Drosophila melanogaster: one gene and its partner. The protein of the gene in region 2 interacts with the protein of the main gene of each other region in a pairwise test. Each region holds a gene or a part of one and is shown on either strand. Other genes may lie near its edges. The genes, in order: gdrd and CG14384.

Region 1 (2,822 bases), on a different chromosome or scaffold from region 2:
TTAATGCCGCTGCAACGGCATTTTATGGCAAATTATGTTTGGCTTCATTTCCACTGATAAGTATCGGACTTCAGCTTTCTGTCGAAATTTATCGCATATAATACGTTTTGCCAATATCTCGAGCGGCAGACGACGAACTTGAAGAATGTCCTTTCTTATTTATTGCTTTTAACATATTTGTTTGGCTCCAAGGCAATTCGTCTTTCTATGTGAATGTGGCGAAAGGCAAATGCAAATTTCAGTCTCAAATTTTCCGACTTTGCAAAGTTTTCGACAAAACAAAAGGCCCCCTGACAATATGCAGCTGCTCGAAATTGCTTGGGGTAACATTTTTGAAGGGCGGTCAATGAAAAGTTTATTATGCGCCGAAAAGAAGTCCACAAAGTTTGTGGACCGAATGAAAGCAAGTTTGGCAATTGTGTGTGGAGGGCCACTAATAAATTGCAAATATCGTTGAAAATAGTTTAGATTATGGCGATAAGGGCAGTATACAATGTATTGCTTTTGCTCATTGCTCAGTTTATTATATGCGCTTAGTTTTCGAATCCTTGGCTTGTGTTAATGCATAATTTTTTAACAATTAACTCGGGTCTGTTTGTGATTTGTTAAATGGGCTTCAATAACAATAACAATAAATAAATACAATAAATTTATACATTTTTGAAAATGAGAAATATAAAAATGTTCTTATATCATTGGTTGGTGGTTTCGTTTTCTTGTTCGACGTTTTCAAATCGCATTGGATTATCGCCTCCAGCCAACTGGTCGGCGTTTTCGCCAACAGGTACGGATGGAATTCGAGCATGGAGCTTCCTCTTCATCTGGACCACGGCAGAGTTGGCCATGCTAATGCGATTAATGATTCGGTTCAGACGCTCCTGAATGTTCGAGAATACCTGCTCGGAGAAGCGAGCGTCCTCAGAGGTATCGAGAGGCCCCACTGCAGTTGCTTCGTCACTATTGTTTTGGCTACCTTCTGTATAGGGCTCGTAGCTTTCAAGGTCTTGGAATATATCAGATCCGTCGTCCGACATTTTGACAAAAAAAATATATTTCAGAAATTTCAATAGTTATTCAGGAGCTGTGAACTAGAACAGACTTAAGTGCAAACAGATCAAAGACAGAATTTATACTGACAACAAAATCGAGAGCAGCATGTTTGATATAGTAACTCTATACAATAAACAATAGTATTAATCCAAACTCCATAAATATGAGTAGATGGTCACAACGTTGAAACATTTTTAATTAAGCGACACATCAAACTATATTTTTTATTTAAAACCAACGTTTTAATTATCTTCAAAATTAAGAATAGACGGATTTAAAACCTCTTAAGAAATCGCAACCCACTTGGCATGTAATCATGTGTGAAATGTGTTCAGCAGGGTCATAAAATCAGAAATCAATTAAAGCAATTTAAGAGCGAGGAGAGCAAACGATACGGATATGGATGTCGAGAGTCGAAAGTTGCCAGGGCACAAGGCAAATAAATCTCTGAAACGACTCTGCCAAAAAGGACGCACTTTGGGTGGCAGTGAGGATAAAAGTTTCCCCACAGCTGAACGAGGCGAACGAAATCAAAGTCTATAACTTAACGACTGCAATGAGAATGATGCTGATGACGATGTCGACGATGTGAAACGCCCTCAAGGTCCACCCCATTCCGTCCACCCGTTCCACCCACAGCCCGCCACCATTCGAGGAAAATCCGTACGCAGAAAAAGAGAGACAAAAGCCGAAAAGGGAGGAAATGCAGCATTCATTCTCTCGCCATTTTCCCCTTAACCCTCCCCTTTTCCCATGGCTCTTTGCCATCATTCTTTCAGTGAGTTTTTCGCCTCCATGTGCTAAATATTTGCCAGCCATTTCTTTATTTTTCTCTGGCCTTTGTCGCCAAACTGGATTCCCATCTTGATACCCATCGCTCTGCCACATCGTAATAAAGCAATAAATCTGCTGAGGAACTGCTCCTCATAAATTCCGTTACGCATAAAAACACTTACAAATGACTTTTTGTTCAATGGAATAAATGGCATGGCACTACACACATACTAAGATGTATATATGGAGCTGTAGCTGCGAATGCATGTTCATGACTGCACCAAGTTAAATTCACACACTTGGCTTTCTATATCTTCCGGGATTCGCTGAATCCTCTATTGATAATGCCATTTGGCATTTGGCTTGTGGCAAGGCTTTGACTTTTGCGACGTCTTTCACTTTATGGGCTTTCTATTGAAAACTCGTTGCGCTGCTAAGTAGGCAACATTTTTCAGCTCGCTCTAGTTTGTTCGCTTGTATCTTCGGGCGTAATAAACTACGGGATAAATTAAGTTTTTGTAAATAAGTGTAGGAATCTGGTGAAAAAATGTTGTAAAGAAATCCTGTCACTGAAGTTAAATTACAAATTAAAAATAAAATGTACTCGGAATAAATAAATAGTTGATTAAGAAATATAAGAAAGCCATACGTTTAATATTTAATATTTACAATACCCAACTCATTATATGTTATAACAGTTAAAGCTCTGTTTTTTATATTTCACAGAATCATAACATAAAACTCGTTACGAGTTTTATCGACATTTTTTTACGCACATATTTCACATTAAATATTTAAAATAACAGCTCGCGATCAATCTAAATTAGTAGAGATGTACATATGAAAAAACCCTCTAAATCCCTACCCTTGTTTATGCCAAGTGGTCTCATGCTGTTGCCTAATCTGCTGTCCAAATCACTCTTGCAACATGTTGCACGACCAACTAATTGATGATATAATTGAATGTTCAGAGACCATTTCCCAGTTCGTTAGGCTCT
Region 2 (4,678 bases):
TACAGGACACCATTGTCGTGCCCAGCCTGTATGCCTTCCACTCGGACGCCCGTATTTGGTCGGATCCGGAGCAGTTCCGGCCGGAGAGATTCCTGGACGCGGATGGCAAGCTCTGCCTGAAACTGGATGTCTCGCTGCCCTTTGGAGCGGGAAAACGGCTCTGTGCCGGCGAGACATTTGCGCGCAACATGCTCTTCCTGGTGACAGCGACCATGTGCCAGCACTTTGACTTCGTCCTGGGCCCCAATGATCGGTTGCCCGATCTCTCCCAGAACCTCAATGGACTGATTATTTCGCCACCAGATTTCTGGCTGCAACTACAGGATCGGCATTGAAAGTAGCCAAGATATTAGAGTTATCTATTTTTAAGACAAAGTAATTTTACTGATTACGTTAGCTAGTTTGCTTGGATATTTTTTGAGGAATTTTATTCCGTCACATTTCAAAAATATTCTAGAATTGCCCAATACTATTATGTGATGCACCACAACGAACTATTTATTTTAACATTGTCGTTTACTCATATCGTGTGGTATCAAAGTTCGCGAACGGAACTTGTTGAGAAGATGCGATTGGAATGAGATGGGTTTCTTAGAAATCCTCATTATCGCTGTATACAATGCAATCAGAATCTGAGCTGGTGGATGAAAAACTCAATGAGCGAACCAGCGAGACCATCGAAGAATGTATTGAGGGATTGGGGGACTGGATAGCATTGTACTCGGATTCTGAATCCGGATCGTATCCTTCCTCATCGTCCATTTCCTCTTGCGGGTTCACGAATGAGTTGTCCAAAGGATCCACCTCGTTGGCGGCTTCCATCGTTGCACCCTGAGTCTCATTGCGCAACTCGATCACTTCTTGGCGAATCTGGTTCTGCTCCTCCGCAATGGTGGCCACCAGTTGTTCGAGACTGCAGATCTTGGCCTCATATTCGGTCAGTTTCTTCTTCAGCTGACAGTTTTCGGCCCGACAGTTGGCCAATTCCAAGCAGGCGCACATGGCGATCTTGACGTCATCCGAGGTTGCGGACCTGGTACTGTATGCAAACCACATTGTTACCACAAGGAACACATACGCCGGATATCGAAAGCGATCTCTTGGCCGAAACTTACATGTTTAAGCCACTGGAGTTCTTATTATGAACCGGGCAATTGAGGGACATTTTGAGACTTGAAATTTATAGGCAGTTCAGTTTAGCAATTGTCTTACGACAAAATCAACTTTGACCTATTTGTACTCGGAAAGTTCACCCAGAAATATTTGACACTGTTTTACTGTTCTCTTCGATTCGAATGCAAATATGAGCTTCTGAAATACAGAAATTCAAGGTCCCTAGATTTTAATCTCCATTTTAAATGGGTCGCAAATCGAATATAAATCAAAAGATACAGTCAAATTACTGCAGATTGTTTTACTAGCCGAGCTGATAACAAAAATAAAATAGCAAACTGCAAGATAATGTGCAAACACTTTGACCAAAATGCCCTTATCAATATTAAGACAATTGAGTGGCAACAAAAAAAATAGAAAATAGAGTTGAAAACAAGGTGATAATTGTTTGGTTACGAAAACGACAACTTGTTCGCTATGAACCCAGTGTTTAAAATTCACTATCAAAACAAGTGAAGTTGACATACACATGAAAATATATCTTACTTAAAAGTAACTTTTATAAATAATAAAATAAATGTTAATATTATTTAAACTACTGGCACTTACGCCTTTTGGTGACTTCATCAGCATGCATTCACGACTCGAGCGGTTGGAGCTGCTTTTCCGGGGACACCTATTGACGCTCCTTGGCTTGCAGGCCGGAGTCGTGGGCTTTCGGGAACACTTGGGCACTATTTTCTTGCGGCCGCATCCCATATGTTTGAGTTTCTCCGATTGACGCCGATGACGCGAAGTGGAGCTTTTGCTGAGACACCGTTTCTGGTACTGCAGGGTATTAACGAAGGGCAGAAGATAAAGTTCGCCGGTCAGGGGGAAAGTGTGTAATCCCTAGGAACTTACTTTCGATCGATACTGATTCTTTTCTCGCGAACTCAATGCATTCCAGTACCCCGCTCCCTGACGCAGTGACTCCTCCATTTGGAGGTGCGGGGATTTAAGATGTATAGCCACCGCGTAACTTAAAAAGCCGTTTGGATACGGTGCCATCTCTACTTATACTTTTCAACTAACGTACTGAAATTTAGGATGCTAAACTAAGAATTACGTACAAAACATTCGAGCTTGAAAAATTGAAAGGTACAAATTTGAGTTGAGTTGCTGTTGCTAACTGATAGAAGTGAAATCTCAAAACTACTTGTTTAATAATAATTGCCAGTTTCTGGATTTGATACACAACTCTTCGTTGGCCTTAGTTTATTATGATGTATATATTACAATTTGGTTAAAAACTGTTCGCTTAGCCTAGCAACAAGCGGTTTAACTTCAAAACTTACAGATAATTTGTCATTACACTTAGCCGTATTAGATAAGCGAGAGTCGTTCCGTTCCGAGGACCCTTTCTCCAAATTTATATTGCTTCGACTCCTAAATATCAACTTACGAACTAATTGATTTATATTCACGTTGCGCATGGACCTGCATCCATGCCAGTAACTTGGCTAATACTGGCCACTCCCGCCGATCCCCAAATCACCCCGATCCCCCCAAGGTCCTTGGCCAACTCCTCCCTCGATTATCCTCGCCATTCCCCAAACACGCAGGTGAAAGGATTTAGGTTTTGGTTTGGTTCTAGTAGTAGGCCTGCTTTATGGCCGCACTGGTGATAAGGAAAGCGGAGCCAATCAGCATGAAGGTGATGATTTTGAGAGCACTTGGTCTACCGGAAGAATCTGCGAAAAGCGTGACATTCATAGATCATCCTTACTCAATTGGTTTTGCAAGGACACTTACTTTTCTTATTGGGCATCACGCGAATGCATTGATTCTGATTGGCGTTCGCCGAGTAGCCCAGCTTGCACTGGCACACGGAGTTGCGGCACTCGACATTCTCGGGATCCTTTTCTACATAGCACTCGGTGGCCTTGGTGCACGACTCTCCCAGCTCTGCAAGATTGCAACATATTAGAATTATTACAAATAATTAAAGAAAGCTTAGCGACTCAATTACCTCGCTTCGTCTCACAGACTCCGTTCTTAGCATGCTGCTCATCGTTGCATCCACACTTGCCCTCCGAATTGCAGCTCGCCAGGAGCGGCTTGCACTGCTCATCCTCGACGCACTCGTCCTCCAGCTCCTCGGCTATAATGAAATGTAATGTGGGGCAGGGCATAATTTTGCTGCTTTGCATTTCAGCTTCTGAGTACTAACCCTCTTTTAGGCACTCATCCTTAAAGTGCACGTATCCCTTTCGGCACTGGCAGGTGCGCGACTGATCCTCCTCGTCCTTCTCCTGGCATTCGGTGTTCTCAGGTATGCAGTCATCCTCCACCGAGCAGTCGGCACCGATGCCACGCATACACTGATCGTCCTTCTCAAAGTAGTTGTCCGCACAAACGCACACGCGATTGGAGCAGACGGAGTGATCCACAGGACAGCCATCGTTCGACTCACACTCGGCTCCCAGGCCACGTTTGTATTCGCAGAGCTGCTTGATGGCATCGTAGAGAGCGTACTCCTCGCAGGTGCACCTCCTCGGAATCTCCGGGTGGCAATAGGAGGCGCCAAATGGACTGCATTGGCTGTTCGAGGTGCAGGATAAGTGGTATTGAATGGCTGTTTTGATGGAAAAGGATATATCTTAAGTGCGATTCAGCAGCTAGCGTTGGAACCACCTACGTTTTCTGCAATTGCGCAGATCCCGCTCGTAGAAATAATTCTTTTGGCAATTGCAAGTTTTGGTCAACTGATCGAACTCGTACTCGCACTCATCCGTGCTCTCCGCAATTTCCCCCAGTTCTAAAGAATTTTCATTTCAGTTAATTTCATTAATAGAAGAATTAAATTGGGGGAAACCCAGTTTACTCACCGGCAAAACATTTTCCATTGCGGGCATAGTAACCCTGGCGACATAGGCAAATATTCTTGGAACAAATCGAGTGCGGCAGACCCGAGCATGTCTTTCCATTATCCGTGCAGCTGCTGCCATCTAAATGGGAAAAAAAATAGTTGAAATATATTTAAGATTGCCTAAGCATTGAGAGACTTCATTTTTTTGGGGGCATTCTTGGATACTCACACTTCTTCTCATCGGCATCGTCGTCATCGCGGCTGGAACCCAGCGTGGAGTAGGTCTTTATATCCTCGTCATCGAATCGGAAGAGGGCGGGCAAGCGGCGTCTTTGGCCATGGGCGTGTCTCTGGTTGCGGCTGGAGTTGCGCCTGCTACTGGTGCTCGTGGAGGCGGTGGCTGTCGTTGTGGTGGTGGCGGTGGCCGCATTGCGCACACTTCGTCCCACCTCCCTCAGCTCGTACTTCTCGATGCTCGTCTGGACGGCAATCTCGTGGGATCGGGGCGAGATGAGCGGCTCGGTGTCGCCATTGGTGAGCTGGGCGAAGGACACCTGGGCGGCGGCATCGCTGTGAGTGGGCGGGGGGGCGTGTACAAAGGCCTTGGTTAGCTGCCTTCGGCTACTGAAAGCGGTCTCCTGTTCCGGATCGGCAGTCTCGGTGATCGCCTCGGCTGTGGTTGAATCATCATCCTCTGGCGAGCCCGGATTGGTG

The links.
Region 1: the proteins of CG14384 (region 2) and gdrd interact in a two-hybrid assay, tested with the Drosophila melanogaster proteins (one large-scale study listed by BioGRID).

The regions. Positions count from the first base shown.
Region 1 is NT_037436.4:14,689,641-14,692,462, reverse strand, and holds gdrd (goddard), read right to left. Parts: upstream 1,117-2,822; 5' UTR 1,035-1,116; coding exon 693-1,034; 3' UTR 501-692; downstream 1-500.
Region 2 is NT_033777.3:12,965,438-12,970,115, forward strand, and holds CG14384 (uncharacterized protein), read right to left. Parts: upstream 2,276-4,678; 5' UTR 2,164-2,275; coding exon of another isoform or gene 2,017-2,163; intron 1,942-2,016; coding exon of another isoform or gene 1,723-1,941; intron 1,312-1,722; 5' UTR 1,166-1,311; coding exon 1,116-1,165; intron 1,040-1,115; coding exon 592-1,039; 3' UTR 501-591; downstream 1-500. Other genes in the region: grsm (granny smith), read right to left, coding at 1,723-1,941, 2,017-2,163; Cyp304a1 (cytochrome P450 304a1), read left to right, coding at 6-335; CG7381 (uncharacterized protein), read right to left, coding at 2,746-2,846, 2,908-3,060, 3,125-3,256, 3,326-3,730, 3,794-3,913, 3,984-4,103, 4,194-4,678.